Lonchura striata: one gene and its partner. The protein of the gene in region 1 interacts with the protein of each later gene in a biochemical or structural test. Links are inferred from orthologs where the notes say so. Each region holds a gene or a part of one and is shown on either strand. Other genes may lie near its edges.

Evidence for each region.
Region 2: the proteins of CEBPA (region 1) and TRIB1 form a complex in vitro, tested with the Homo sapiens proteins (2 studies listed by BioGRID and IntAct, with this or other methods). The link is inferred for Lonchura striata from reciprocal best matches to the Homo sapiens genes CEBPA and TRIB1.

Annotation. Positions count from the first base shown.
Region 1 is NC_134615.1:5,207,667-5,214,448, reverse strand, and holds CEBPA (CCAAT/enhancer-binding protein alpha), read right to left. Parts: upstream 2,732-6,782; 5' UTR 2,422-2,731; coding exon 1,444-2,421; 3' UTR 574-1,443; downstream 1-573. UniProt on the Homo sapiens protein: Transcription factor that coordinates proliferation arrest and the differentiation of myeloid progenitors, adipocytes, hepatocytes, and cells of the lung and the placenta.
Region 2 is NC_134603.1:11,725,263-11,733,222, forward strand, and holds the start of TRIB1 (tribbles homolog 1), read right to left. Parts: upstream 3,025-7,960; 5' UTR 2,909-3,024; coding exon 2,603-2,908; intron 2,205-2,602; coding exon 1,912-2,204; intron 1-1,911. UniProt on the Homo sapiens protein: Adapter protein involved in protein degradation by interacting with COP1 ubiquitin ligase. The COP1-binding motif is masked by autoinhibitory interactions with the protein kinase domain.

The DNA of each region.
Region 1 (6,782 bases):
GCTGCCAGCACTGTGCTCTCACCGTCATGCTTTCAAACAGCTCCATCCACCTTGTTCTCCTCTCTTGTCAAGACTTACTTCAGTTGGACAAATTGTTATGCAGCTACAATACAAGGAAGAAATGTTCTGCATGGCTACCAGAATGCCCAGGGGGCCTGTTTGTTTGTTTATTTTTCTCTCACTCTGGAGAAGCTCCAGAGTCCAAAGGTGCAGCAGCACCAGGGACAAGCCTCCTTGCCCCACCACAGGCATTGTACAGCCTCACAGCCCATGCCCCGTTCCAGGCACTCCTGCCTTGGGGTTGGGAGGCAGCAACCAGTACAGGACACTGTGAAGAAGGCAACACACACTCACACTCATCCACCCATACAAATAATAAAATAACGTTGCAGCACAAGGGCATAGTCTCTGTCACCAGGTAAGAAAATTGGGTGATGGCAAAGATCTAAGTAAGGCAATAAAGTATAGCTAGTGTACATGGAACGGCTTTCACATTACATGAGGCACAGTTTGGGCAGACAGAGACTTGAAGAAGAGCTAAATGTCCTGGAATAAAGCAAAATACACTGAAAGTTCATAGTAAATACCCGCATCAATAGGTATTTATTCATTTGTGCTTCGCCACGTCGTGACATACAGTACAAGACACTGCTGCTCTTTCTTTGCATGGAGAGAGCTCACCATACTCTTGCAGGATGCTGCTCCATCAGTCCCAGGCTGTCCATCGGTCCTGCAGGGGTTCTGCCCCTTGTCCCCCTCCCAGCCAAGGCAGGGAACAGGGCTCGGCAGAGGCAGCCCAGCCAGGCTGTGACAGTCCTGGCAGCAGTCTGGTGGCTGCCCCACACCTCAGTGCTCCTAACGGGCATCCAGGGCTGCACATCCTTCAGCCTCAAATCCTCATCACTGACTTCCCCAGAGCTGCTCCTGCTTGTTGCACTGCAGGCCAGCTGGAAGGGGTCTGGCAGAACACCCCAGACACCACAACCCTCAAGCCTGCACATCCCTCATTCCTTCTTCTTGCACCCTGCAAGGCTGGAGGGCATAGTAAGCCCCAGAGCCCCTGCAGCCAGCTTTTAAGGCACATCTGGGTTGCTATATGTGCTTTATTACTGTTTTCGTTATTATTGTTATTATTATTATTATTATTACTGTTATTTACCCTGTGTAGACGCATGGTCTTTTAATTCTTTCGTCCCCTTGCCTTTCTCCTTAGAAAACCCACCATGTTTTCAGCTTACTCGTGTGTCATCTCTAAGGCACCAACCTTTTAATACTTGAGCTGCCTGGCTTCTTGTATAGGTCGTGAATTGATAAAAAACAAACAAAACAAAACCAAACCAAAACAACGCCCCACTCCCCTCCCGCCGGCACACCGCGCTCGCCGCACGCCGGTACAGAGTATCTGTGCGCGGGCAGGGCAGCCCGGCCGGTCCCGGCGCGGCGCTAGGCGCAGCTGCCCATGGCCTTCACCAGCGAGCTCTCGGGCAGCTGCCTGAAGATGCCCCGCAGAGTCTCCAGCTCCCGGGTGAGCTGCTCCACCCGCTTGCGCAGCCGCTCGTTGTCGGTGGTGAGCTCCAGCACCTTCTGCTGCGTCTCCACGTTGCGCTGCTTGGCCTTGTCCCGGCTCTTGCGCACCGCGATGTTGTTGCGCTCCCGGCGCACCCGGTACTCGTTACTGTTCTTGTCCACTGTCTTTTTCGATTTGCTCCGGTGGTCCGAGGGCATCATCTTGAGGGTGCCCGCGGCGGACAGGCCGCCGGGAGGGTGCGGGTGGTGCGGGTGGTGCGGGCTGGGCACGGGCGTGGGGGGAGGCGTGGGCTGCCCGGGCTGGAGGTGCATGGTGGTCTGGGCGCAGTGGGCGATCTGGTACTGGAGGTGGGACGGGTGCTGCTGCGGGGCGTGATGGGGATAGAGGGCCGACAGGGCCGCCGACTTCACCTCCTCCTCCTCGCGGGGCTCCTGCTTGATCACCAGCGGCCGCAAGCCCGGCGCGGCGATGCGCTCGTAGAGGGGGTCGAGCTTGCCGTCCATGTAGCCGGGCACGCAGCCGAAGAGCGGCTGCTGGTGGTGCTGCGGCTGGTGCCCCGGCGCCGAGGCGGCGGCGCCGGCCCCATGCATGGTGTGGAAGTCGAAATCCCCGGCCAGGATGGCCTTGGCTTTCTCCTGCTGCTTGCTGTGCTGGAAGAGGTCGGCCAGGAACTCGTCGTTGAAGGCGGCGGGGTCGATGTAAGCGCTGATGTCGATGGAGTTCTCGTTCTCGCAGATATCGCCGAGCTCCGCGCCGCCCGCAGCAGGTGCCGCCGCCGAGGGAGCCTCTCTGTAGCTGTAGGTGCTGCCGGGCAGGTGAGTCTGGAGCTGGTGGTGCTGGCCGCTGCTCATCGGGGGCCGGGAATCGACCTCGTAGAAATTGGCTTGCTCCATGAAGCAACTACAGTCTGCCGGGCATGGTGAAGGGCTCCTGCAATCCAGGTTTCGAACGGGACGGCGGCGGCTCTAGCAATCTCGCGGCACGGTGCTGCACGGCACGGCTCGGTGCTCCCGGAGCCCGTCCCCCGGCCCAGCCCCGCTCCGCTCGCTGCCTGCCCTGTTGCTAGTGGGCTGCCGCGGTGCTGCGTGCCGTATATATACAGCCGGCAGCAGGGCCGGGGATCGCCCTCTAGTGTCCAACCTCCTGCTGGGAACCTTTGACCGCCGCGCAGCCGGCTCCCAGCGCCCCGGCCGGGCACTGCCGGCCTCCCGCCCGCCCCCGGGCGCCGCCGCCCCGCGGGGAGAGCGCCCCGCTCTCCTCGGCCCCCCTTCCCCTGTCCCGCCGCCGCGCCGGGCTCGGCGGGCGCTGAGCGCTGGATGCTCCCGCCGAGGAAGCTCCGCGCTGAGCAGGGGCCCGGGGGGACGGCGCGGGGACTTTGTGCCGCGCTGCCGGGGCGCTCGGCGGGCAGAGCGGCCAAAAGCGCCGGTGCACTTTCACCGCCCGCTGCCGCCTCTGCGCCGGGAGCTTCGGCCCAGCGCTCCCCGGCCGCGCTTCGCACACAGTCTCAAAGTTCACCATCCGCGCATACTTGCAAATATTTGGCCAGTCGTGAATATTCGCCTGTCGGGTTTGGGAGCCAAGGCGCTGCCTCGCCGGCGGGGGTTACCTGCCAGCAGAGCCGTCGGGCTCGGAGCAGCCGGCCGAGGCCGACCGCGCCGCATTCCGCCGGGACCCGCGGGGCTCGCCCGGTCACAGCGGGACCCGCGGAGTCCGGCCCTGTTCGGGATGCCCCGGCGGGCAGGGTCGGAGAGCTCGGTGGCCGCGGCGGCTCCCGGCTCCGGAGGCGATCGGCCGGGCCGCCCTGGGTATCCGGCCGCTACCGCCGGTCCCAAGCCCGGAGGAGCTGCCCCGCCAGCGCGGAACAGCCTGAGTCGGGTCATCCGCGGTCCGCATCATTCCCCGCTCGAATCGAGCAGGTAAATTTAATGCCGGATTTCGCCAACCGCACGCTCAGCGATCTCGAGCAGTGCCGGGCACGGGCCGCCTCCCGGCCTTGACCCGGGCTAACGCGGGCGCAGCGCGGCCGTGGCCGGCTGTCCCTGTGCGCTGCGGCGTGTGCCCGGCCCGGCGGCCTGCCCAGACCCCTTCTCCGGGGGGCATCAATGTTCCCGCAATGCGGGGCTGGAGAGGAGCTGCGAGTCCCAGCCACCGCTTCCCTGTGCCTCCTGGGTATAGGTCAGAGTCTCCTCAGGAGCCTCCGTCTCAAGCTTCAGTTCGGGCGGGGTGAGGATGCACAGCACTCCTCTTGCTGCCATCACTCGCAGTACGCGAATAGATGTGTCTGTCCCTACTTGTACTGCACCCGGGTGCACCTTGGGCAGTCCCACGGGCATTCAGCTCTCCTGGTTCTGAGGGTCCCTTTGAAAGGACAAGCCAAGCCCACCTGGAGCAGGTGCGGGCTTAAGGATGCTACAGAAAGATCTTCAGGGAAAAGGAATCAAACATAGTGATGGCTGGAGAAAAAAAGATGCAATTCTTAGTTCGGAGTGTTTCCGTGAAAGAGAAACTTGTGACAGTAAATTCCTCAGAAAGGGTTTGACAGATTTCTTGCAATTAAAAATTCAAAGGATTCAACGGGAAACAAAAATGACAATGCACCAAAACGCCTTTTTTTTTTTTTTTTTCCACACAATGCAGGTGTGAACTTTTGTTTCATGAGCAAATGCTAGGCCAGCAGAGTCAGTTGGCACACTCCAAGGTCCTCTCAGGAGACTGGATTCTGTAATTACAGCAGGGAAACATTAATTTACAGATCACAGAGTATACTTTTCACTATCAATTGAAAAAAACCTAATCCTAAATTGTTTTATATGCAGTCAGTATTTTCTAAAATTATATGTCTTGGTTTCAATGCAGTAGCAGTGCCTCACAGGGCTGCTTCCACAAGGAGCTGCAGCACTGTCTAAACAACAAAAACACTCATAAGAACTCTGAACAAAATCCTGGATCAGAGGAAAAGCCTCAAGTCTGTGACAGGAGTGAGTCTTGGGTGTTTCAGAGTAGAGAGTAAAATGTCCCTGACTGTCCAAATTCAGCTTTTTCTACTCAAGTGAACCCATTTCCTGAAATGGGATGAACACATAGCTGGACATTTTGCCTGCTGGGAAAGATATCATCTGGAATAAAAGCTGGTAAGTAGTTTATTCTTAGAGTTTTCAAGAGGCCTTGTCTGACTGAAGTCGGCAGAAACAGGAATAGGCCATGAACATTTAAAACAAAAAGTCACTGCTGCACGAAACAGCAGAAAGATAACTAAGAAAGTGTAAGCAGAATTGTATCACTAAGCTTGTGATTTAATAACAATACCTACACCTCTCAAGTCCTTAAAACACTCTCACATTTTATAATCATTCTGAAATTAAGGCCTAACTACATGTTAAAAAAAATTAAAGTAAATCAGAACGTTTAGGATCAGATTCCATTCCTAATTACTGTAATTAACTAACAAGTCCCCACAATTTAAGGACTGGTTTGCTCAGTTTTGGGGTTTTTTTTTACATAGACCCCTTTTATCTAAGTTAAGAACTTTTAAAGTTTTCTATTTTTACTTGGAATCCTAAATTCCAGTTCAAATTATTTTAATATAGTACAAAATAATGTTCCCAGACTTACCAAAAAGACATATCTTTGTCTTTTTATTTTTACTCCCTGTTTGAAGACAAATAAAATATTTAAAACTGTCTCACCCTCAAACAAGCAGAAATGCTTATTTCCCCATTCATATCAACAGTGATTGATACTGAATACTTCAAATATTAAAGAGAAAACTTGTTGCTTAAGTTATACAAACAGGGAGCTGATTTAACTAGGAGAGGAAGGATGCATGTTGCATACCATGGCTCCCTGAAGCAGCGCTGTCAACTCTTGAGGGTGCTATTCTTCCATCCCAAAGCAGATCTTGCTGTCCAGAAGCTCAGGGAGGGCGAGTAAAGTGCTCCACAACTCAAACCAGCAGCGAGAGTCACCTGTGCCGAGTCAGCTGCACGCCTTTGTGCTCAGGGAAGGAAACATCAGACCAACATCACTGGGAAGGAACGTGACTAAGTGCATTTGTGACGATTAAGAGGTTTTAATTGCACTGAAACACTGAAGTCTCTTTATTTTTTCACCTGAACTCTGCTCCTGTGTTGTTCTCAGGCCTTTCAGTCCCGTGGGCTCCAGGATGAGTTACTGGCTGCAGGATGGAGCTCTGCCTGCTGATCCAACAGCCTGGCAGCTTGTGCACAGCATAGCATGTGGCAGCCCTGTTAGGAACTGCAGTGCAACTGCACATTTATTTTACTACCTTGTTAAACCAGAATATTTCATTGCTACTGACAAAGCTCCAGGCAGGAGTTTGCATGCAAAACTTCTTGGGGTGAATGGCAGCAACAGCCCAGCCTCTGCTCTCTCCCACCTGCAGGACTGGTGGGAGGAAAGAAGACCAGGGTGGGCAATGTGGAGCAGAAAGGATGGGACAGCTGTCGTGGGAGGGACAAGAGGTATTATCCTCACTGCTTCTTCCTGAGTGCACCTGGGGAGTAGCAGGGATGGAGCAGCAGTGGTTTCCTACGCAAATAAAGAGCTGGCAATCTACCATCTTACTTGTTGTGATACACTGAAACACAAACTTCTCCCCTCCCCTGTTGTGTTTTCTGCCCCAGGGAGGAGACACATGATACTGCACATAAAAGCTGCCACACATGACAATTTTCAAAGGAAAAGACTTTATATGCCAAAGCCTTGGAGGCCCGTAGATCAGAATGCAGCAGTGTCTGACAAGTCAACCAGAACCTTCCCTTCAGCTGGGAAAGGCAGCTGGGGACTGCTTATCATTTTTTAATGTGCATTTTGGTCCAACAACAGATGATTTAATGACTTTATCATTACAGCTTTTCTCCTTTGGAGAAACACAACTCCAAGGTGAACCAACTCTAATCCATGTTATTTTCCTCTTCTTTTTTTTTTTTTTTTTGTACCATTCCCCTTGTTTTCAGGGTGTCTAACAATTCTTGGTATCCTTCTGCTCTACTGACTCCTGGCTCTTCTACTGAGAGCTCAGTCCTTTGCAATTTCCAAGCTAGGTGACTGAGGGCATTTCTCATTTCCATTTACCTGATAATTGCTCACTTCCATTCAAATGATCCTCACAGCCCAATCTGTTTCCAGCTTGTCACCTGTAACCTTGCACCAATCAGTCTGTGAAGTATTTTTTATCCATTCACAATCTTTGCATGGTTAATGAGCCATTACATACACAGTTCCTCTCTTATAA
Region 2 (7,960 bases), on another chromosome or scaffold:
CAGCTTGCAGCAGAGAAGCTGCCCAGACGCCTGAGAATGTGTAATGGAAGGGCTGCTGTGTGCACCGGGCCAGCATTCAGTGACGCTCATGTTTTTTTACTAACTGGAGATTTAAACAACACAGAGGACTCTTGAGGAACACCAAGTCACCACTACCCACGCAGGTTGCAGTGCCACTGCAGGGGGTTAATTGGTGACATGGCACTTTACAGCCACTGTGTGCTGTTCAGGCTTTGAGCAAACAGCATCCAGCTGTGTGATTCCATAAACCACAAACCCCAGCTCCCCTCTGCACTGGTGAGGATCATTGCCTTTCCGAAGCTTTTTTTTTTTTTTTCATTTTAGTTCATAATTTATTGTTTTTGCCTTTTGGAGCATATCACTGCACCCACCATCTCCAGGTAGAGATGGGTCCCCAGCCTCCTATTTTGGAGGGTAAGGGGAGCTCCTGTTGGCAGGGAAGCCATCAGCCAGCCCTGGAAGGGTTCTGCACTGCCTGGCAGCCTGCTGGGGTGTAGATATGTTGGCTTCAGCTTGTCCTCAGCCTGACCTCGGCAAATACCCATTGGTTCTGCAAACGGAAAATATGACTCAACGAGAACCGTGGGCCCGGGATTGGCTGCGGAGCCCTGAAACTGCACCTGTGCGGGAGCCCGCGTCGCCTGCCATTGCTTAACCCTCTTCTTGCCAAATGTGATGCACATGACATCGCCTGTGCAACACGTTATTTCCAAATGAGCGAGACTGTGTGCAACGTAACATTTCAACAAATGTTTCATCTTCTTATGGGAGGGAAAAGCTGCAATAGTTTCCTTCAAAGGAATAGCTTTCTTTACGTGTCAACATATGGTTGTTTCAGAGGGGCAGCGCTGGTTAATTTTCTTATCACATTCGTAAAAAGATATCCTGAAGAATCATTAGCCCAGTTTAACAAAACAAACAAAATCCCTTTTCTTTTGCATCAGTAATATCACCTTACATTTTTATTGTATTAAGCACAACTCCATTACAGCTTTTACTTAGTTTTTTTAACATTGCTTGGGATAAGCAGCTAGTCAATAATCAGCTTTGCTGTATTTCTGACTCTGCCACGTGTGATGAAGCACCGCAAGAGCACAGCACTCCAGGGGAATACTGAATATTTCCCTAATCTAAATTTAACAACTAGATTTTATGATTCTATCATCTTCTCTATGAACCTAGGCTTTAGGCTAAGTTTTACAAAAGTGATTTTCTTTGATGCAGGATTCCCAGAGCATTATTTAACCATATCCCACCTTCCCTCCTGTGTGTGCCCACAATCCACGGGCACAGGGGGCATGGGAAGCACAGCAGTGGAAGTGGGGTAAAAGCCTCAAAGGGTTCAGCAGCATCACTCTCATCAGCAGAGTGGTTCAGCAAGGAGACCCTTTCCAAGTGCTGGGGCTCCACCGTGGGTCACAAGGCAACTCTCCCGAGGAGAGACCAGAGCTCCAGCTCCTCACATCTCCTGCTCCCCCAGCCAGGCTGCTTCCTCCTCCCGGCACAACACCTCAGCCTCCCCCCTCTCCCTCTCTGCCTTTTATTCATTTGATACTGAATGAGTGGCACACATGACATCTTCTGGCGCTAACGAGCATCTGAACTATCATCCCTTTGTCTGCCAGCGGGTTTCAGTGAACTTCTGCTGAATGAGAGGAAGCTCCCGGCGAGCTTCCTCCCTTTCATCAGTCAAGATCTAACTAAAAGGGAGTGCGCACCGCTTAGATCCGTGACCTACTACACACACGTGATGAGGACCTACTCGGATTGCTCGCAGGTGATGCCCGGCTGACGGAGCTGTTTCCACTCCCTGGGACGCTTTTTGTGTCTCTGGATGTGGCATTCCTCCCTCCCCACTCACCCCAGGGCTGGCTGCTGACAGCCACTTACCTTTCTTCATTAGAGAAGACAAATTTCCTGAGCTTGAGGTCACCAAGTACGATGGCTGACTGGTGGCAGTGAGCTACAGCAGAGACAATCTGTTTGAACAGCCGGGCAGCCTCCTCTTCCCTCAACCTCTTGCAGCTCCTCACATAGGAGTGCATGTCCCCAAAGTCCTTTTCAAAGAACACATAGGCCTTGGTGTCCCCGAGAATGACTTCGACAACCCCGGTGATGTTTCTGTGTGACGGCAGCTGAATGTAAGGTCGGATCTTGTCCTGGTAGTGTTTGAGAGGGAACACCTGTATAGAGGAAATTAAACCCGAATTCATTCTCAAGGGCGTTGAAAGCTGCAGCTCGCGTAGCAACTCTCCCCAAACAATGACGAGGGAGCTGGAGGGAAGCCAGGGCTCGGCAAGACCGGCAGAAGCGGCTACCGAGACCCTTCCTGTTCGTTGTAAATTGAAAGGCTGTGGGGGGAAACTAAACCAAACCACCATTCCCACAGCCTTTGGGGGGAAGGCGCCCCGAGGTAAGTCGGAGTCCCAGCTCACTCGCAGGGCGTGCAAACGCCGCCGGGGGCTGGCCGGGCGCTCCGGCCGGGGAGCAGCGGGAGGATGGATGTTCGGCAGGGCTGCGCCCGGGCCGGTGGTCGGGCGCGCCGGCAGGACCCGCTCCCACCCGCGCAGCTCCCGCTCACCTTGCAGCGCAGCTCCCGGCCCGAGCTGACGCTCAGCGCCCTGGACACCTGCTCCCGCTCGGCCAGCGGCAGCAGCAGGTACGAGGCGATCAGGCTGGGACCCGCCGCGCCGCCGCCGCCGGCGGGAGAAGCGGGGGCACACGGCGACCCGGGAGCGCTCAGGCAGTCCGGGGGGCCGCACTCGGCGAGCCGAGGGCACTTGGCGGCCGGCGCTTCCTCGGCGGGGCCGTCGTGCAGGGGCTGGAGGCGCTTGGCCGGGGCGCTGCGGCAGCGGGCGGCCGGCAGCAGGGACGCGGGGCGGCTCATGGGGGGAGCGGAGCGGCTGCGGAGCTACAGGCGGGCGCTGCGCGCTGGGCGCATCCCTTCGCTCTCCCCGCCGAAACCTCGGGCTGTGTCCACCATCTGCTGCCGAGTCCGCGCTAAAGTAGTTGGAGGCTTTAAAAAAAAAATAAAAAAAAAAAAAAAGGTGATTCTCCTCCTCCTCCCGGCCTGACGCACGGGGAAATGGGAGGAGGGAGGCTGGGACACGCCTGCTCCGCTCCGCCCGGCGCTCTCCGCGCCCCGGCCCTGCCGCGGACCGGGCGGGGCGGCGGGGGACCCGGCGGGGGTCTCGCCGCGGGACTTGCGGGGCGGCAGGCACCCCGCCTTCGACCTTAAATATTTGTGTCGAGAAAGCGAGGCCACCTTCCTTTCCAGGATCTTCTCGCCCATACAATTGCAGGTTCCCAGCCCCAGTTCTTACTTTTCACTAATCACTAAATAACCATCCCTCACCCCAAGGTTTGCATCACAACGCTGTTGTATGAGCATAAGCGTTTACTCATAAGCGTAGACGTAACGTGCACCATCAGAAATACTTGGCACTGGGTGTTTCCCATGTTAAAACTTTATCTGTCCGAAAAAGGAATAGCTCGGAGAGCCAGGCAGCAGCCAGCAGCTGAAGTGACCTGTGAGGAGCAGACTGAGAGGAGCTCCACAAGGCTCAGTAGTGTGGCTTTAAAGCAGTAGTAAATAGACTGGTAGTAAATGGAAAAAATAAATAAAAAAAAAACAATTTAAAAAAAAAAGAGACAAAACCAGACAACAAATCATCCCTGGGGAAAAAAAAAAAAAAAACAGCTGTAGTTTTGACAAGAAATGCTTCAGAAGGAAACTCTCCAGTTTTCTGTTTCTATATATGCAAATTTTCTGCAATTTAGTGCTGAAGCTTCATATTAACACAGGGACCCTGTGTTTTGTTACTCAGTAGGATCAACTCCTATTCTGGTTTGGTTTCCCCAACCCAGATCTGTACAGGAGGCAGAGAGGGCTGAAGATGGGCCCCCCAGCTCTGAAGCCCGTGATGCCACGCGTGCAGGTATTTGCTCAGATTCCTGGTAGATAACTGCACAGCAAACCCATGCATGCCTTCAGCTACTTCTAGTGTATTTTAAGAAACACATGAAACTCTTGTGCAGGATGACTCATAGCATAGCAGTCCCATTAATGCATTTAAACATAAAACGCATATGCCATAAAGGGCTATCCCAGGGCCTGCATTTCTTTCTTTTTTTTTCCCCAGAAATAAAATTCCATTAATGCCTGCAGATTGTTTCTGAGTGATTCACCACAACTCTCAAAGCACACTATTTTATTTGGTTCCTCTTATAGGTAAAACACATGCAAGTATCTATCAGACCTTTTGTTTTACTTTTCCCTTCCTGGAAGTTTAATGATTGGAATGCTGCTGCTGGGTGAATTTAGCTGGTAGGATGCCACATGTGTGGGCTGCTTCCTACATCTGAGACAGCACAAGGTGCAGCGGGGGGAAGGTTATCAGTACCTTTGGGGACAGGGGAAGGGTGCAGACAAAAACAAATGGGTGCAGACAAAACAGCAATGGACCTGCATAAAGGTTCTCATGGGCATTCGTAGTGTGTATCAGTGTCCCCTGTAGCTCCCTCCGAACTGAGATGCAGTGTGAGCAGGAATGAAGGTGTCAGTGTCCTCTCCCAAATCTCCTGTGTCAGCTGATTGTCCCTGCTGGGGAGAAGGGCCATACCGAGGATCTGCTGCATACACTGCTGGAAGCTGCTGTCCTTCATCTGCCCAGCCTCCCATCCACTTAAAACCTCTAAGTCCACCCCATGGGGACACAGTGGCACCTGAGCACAGTGCTTGGTTCAAGCTACTGGCAGCCAGCTGGGGATGGCACCCACTGGTCCTGAGGAAGGCAAAAAAGCACCTCTTGTCATCCTGGCTCCCCCAACACACCTGGCATGTGAGGAGAGCAGAGGTACACACAGCATTGTACCTCACAGTCCTGCCACATTCTCCTGGTGCCTGGGCAGCCTTTTCTCACAGGGTATGCTCTCTATGTGTGTCCCTGCTAACTGGAGCCCTAAAACTGGGTGTGCAGTCCCCAAAGGCCAGGAAAATATAACCCCTAGGACATTCATCCCAGAAACACTGGTGGGTGCCCTCTTCTAGTTGACTGTATAGACTAAACTACAGTTGACTGTCTACATGTGACTAAGAGAAACCAAAGCTTAAATCTCCCAGGTCTTTGGAAAACAGGTGAAGTTCTTGACAGAAGGAAACCTTTGTTGCTTCTTTATAGTGCCTGGCATGATGTCAGGTACTCAAAGCCTTAATGCCATGGCTAAACATATAGTAGCAAATATTACTCAAGTTAGTCTTATGTTTTGGGTACAGAACATAGGAAAAAGTCCACATCCAGACTCTCCTCCATCCCCACCAATTCAAGATACAGAGCAGAGAAGTGATTCCCACTTTGGCTTTTCTGGTTTTTCTAATTTTGGCCAAAATGAAAAAAAAAAAAAAAAAAAAAGAATGCCAAGGATGTTGTCTGATGACCTGCATGGGATGCTCTTTCTCAAAGGGCTGAACTGAAACTTGTCCTCCTTGCCCATCTCTGCCAGTGCTTGCATGCAGCCTTGGTGTGGTTAGGAACCAGTGCTGAGAACAGGAGCAATTCCAGGAAGAGATTTGTGAAAAACTGTTGCAACATTTCAGTATTGTAAGATTTTTGCAGAAAATGGAGCTACCACACTTGACATAGCAGCCTTGTGTTTGTTGCCATCACACCACTGGCTTTTAATCATGCAGACTTATCTCCTGCATTAGTCTCCTCCTGAAATCAAAAGCTATCTTTGGGGTATTCCTTCTATTCCCTGCACAAGCCTTCATCATTCCATCTCCTCGTTCCCCCAAAAAGACTTTTCAGGCTCTACTTGCTTAGTGTGATGAGCACTGTCATGGTAATTCCCAGTTGTGCCTGTGGTGAATTTGAGCCTGAATGGCTTTACAGCCCTTCAAAATGAACCAGAGCCATGTTACACATCTCCAGTGGACAGCACTGAAAATCATTGTGGAGCACAGATCAGTGCACAATTACAGTCCTAATGCTGGGATAAAACATTGACTCTGTGGATGAGTCCTGCTATCCAAGTGCCAGAAAAAATAAACTGCTGTGAGCCAGCAGAATACAAGGAACCATCACTCAGCCCTGGTGTTCCAAAGGGACTTGGTACCTGTGAGGTGGGCAGGGATGACCTTCAGAAGTACAGTTCAGTAGTCTTCATGCTTGGCAAAGGACAACAGTGTGCAACAGGCACCTTTCCCAATACTACCAAAGTCTGAGGAGCTCTCAGTCAAAGAACATTGCAAAATCTTTACAAAAATTAGATCCTGCCTTGGAAAAGGCCAGTCAAAGCAAGCAGGACTGCTTGCTGTATCCTCGCTTCCTGGAGTCCCAGCTGCTATGCAAGGATCTGGGACTGCAGCAGAAAAAAGAGCCTGTGGGATGTGTATCACAGAATGGGCACGTCCTAGCAGAGGGAAGGGTCTTACCCAGAAGAGATTTGCCAGAACTGTGGCAAGGTGAATATAGCTCTTCATATATTTTCTCTCTTTTTTGAAACAGACAAGCAGCTTAGTGCATCTGTGAGATGAAGACTGAAGAATCCAGAATTCCTGGTGCTCAGGCATTGATCCTCCCATTCCTGTTATTTTATTTAAGGGAATTTTTGTTATGTGGTTTTCAAGCATCTACCTGCCTTGCCCTCAGCCAGTGCTTACACTCACCTGAGCAGCTGCTTTTCCTTACATGCTCCCAAAATTATCACTGTTGCTCCAGTTCTCTGACCCTTTATCTCTATAACTAGAGCAGCCAGAGGCAATGAGAATTGTGTAACCATCTCCCCACTTCCCAAGTGCTTGGGACAGGTCTGGTAACTTTGATAGTATGTCTCATGGGACACACAGAATAAATCTCTATTAGATTAGGGCACTTATAAATAAATTGGCTGCTTGCTACAGAAAAAAAGAATGAAAAGGTCTTTATTTTAGTTAATGGATGAGAGAGGCAAGGAACACAAATATTTTGGCTAACATTAAACTATTGGTAAAGGATGAAAAATCAATACCTTTATTTTAAAAGTTATCTGAAGCCATATAATGAAAATTAACTACTGCTAGATTGAAAGCCAATAATTTAAAAACAGCATGTCATCTATAATCTAATGGTGTACAGAATTACCCTGCACAGATGGGGCTCAAAGAGTAGTCGTATGGCCAGGTGATAAAGAAGTAAAAGTAATGTTTTTTATAGCAGAACAGCATCTGTGATAACCCACAGCCATCCTCAGACACTGTGGAACTTGGCAGCAGATTAACCACTGAGATATAAAACACATGACAAGCACGTAGTGACATCAAAAGGAGTGCAATGTAATGGTGTTCAGATGTCTCCCCTCAAGCCCACACAAAGCTGCTCTGAGGGCTGCTGCAGCTCAGAACTCTCAATGATTCCCTTTTGATAAGCCTGTTGTTATCAAATCCAAGGAGTCTTATGAGCAGCACCTCCTGACTTTGTTCCTCTGCTAACTGAAGAGCATGAAGGCTTCTTCTGTTGCCTGAAAGACGTGTGAAGGTTCAGGTTTTAGACCTCAAATCCTGTTTTGACTTCAGAAGTTGATTGCACAAGCGGACAGTGAATGAGTGTCTCCGTTTCCCTTGCGGTCAGAGAAGATCCTATTCATACTGAGTTTACAAGCAAACACTTCCTTTGGTAAGCTTCCCGTGCAATTCAATTCATGTGCGTGCTTTCAGGCTCTGTCTTTGGGTCTGGACTAACATCAGAACAAGCAAGAGAGGCAGGCTCTCTTCTCAGCCCACCACAGCCTTTTCTGCAGTGCTTTGAAATGATGAAACACACTGTGTTTTCTGCACGCTGCTGCAGTCCTGTCAAGTCACAGTGATTATTCATGCATCAAGAGGCTAAGCACAGACATGGGTATCTACTGGATGATGTACACCCATTCCAGAGTTTTACTTGCTTAACAATCAATCTAATGT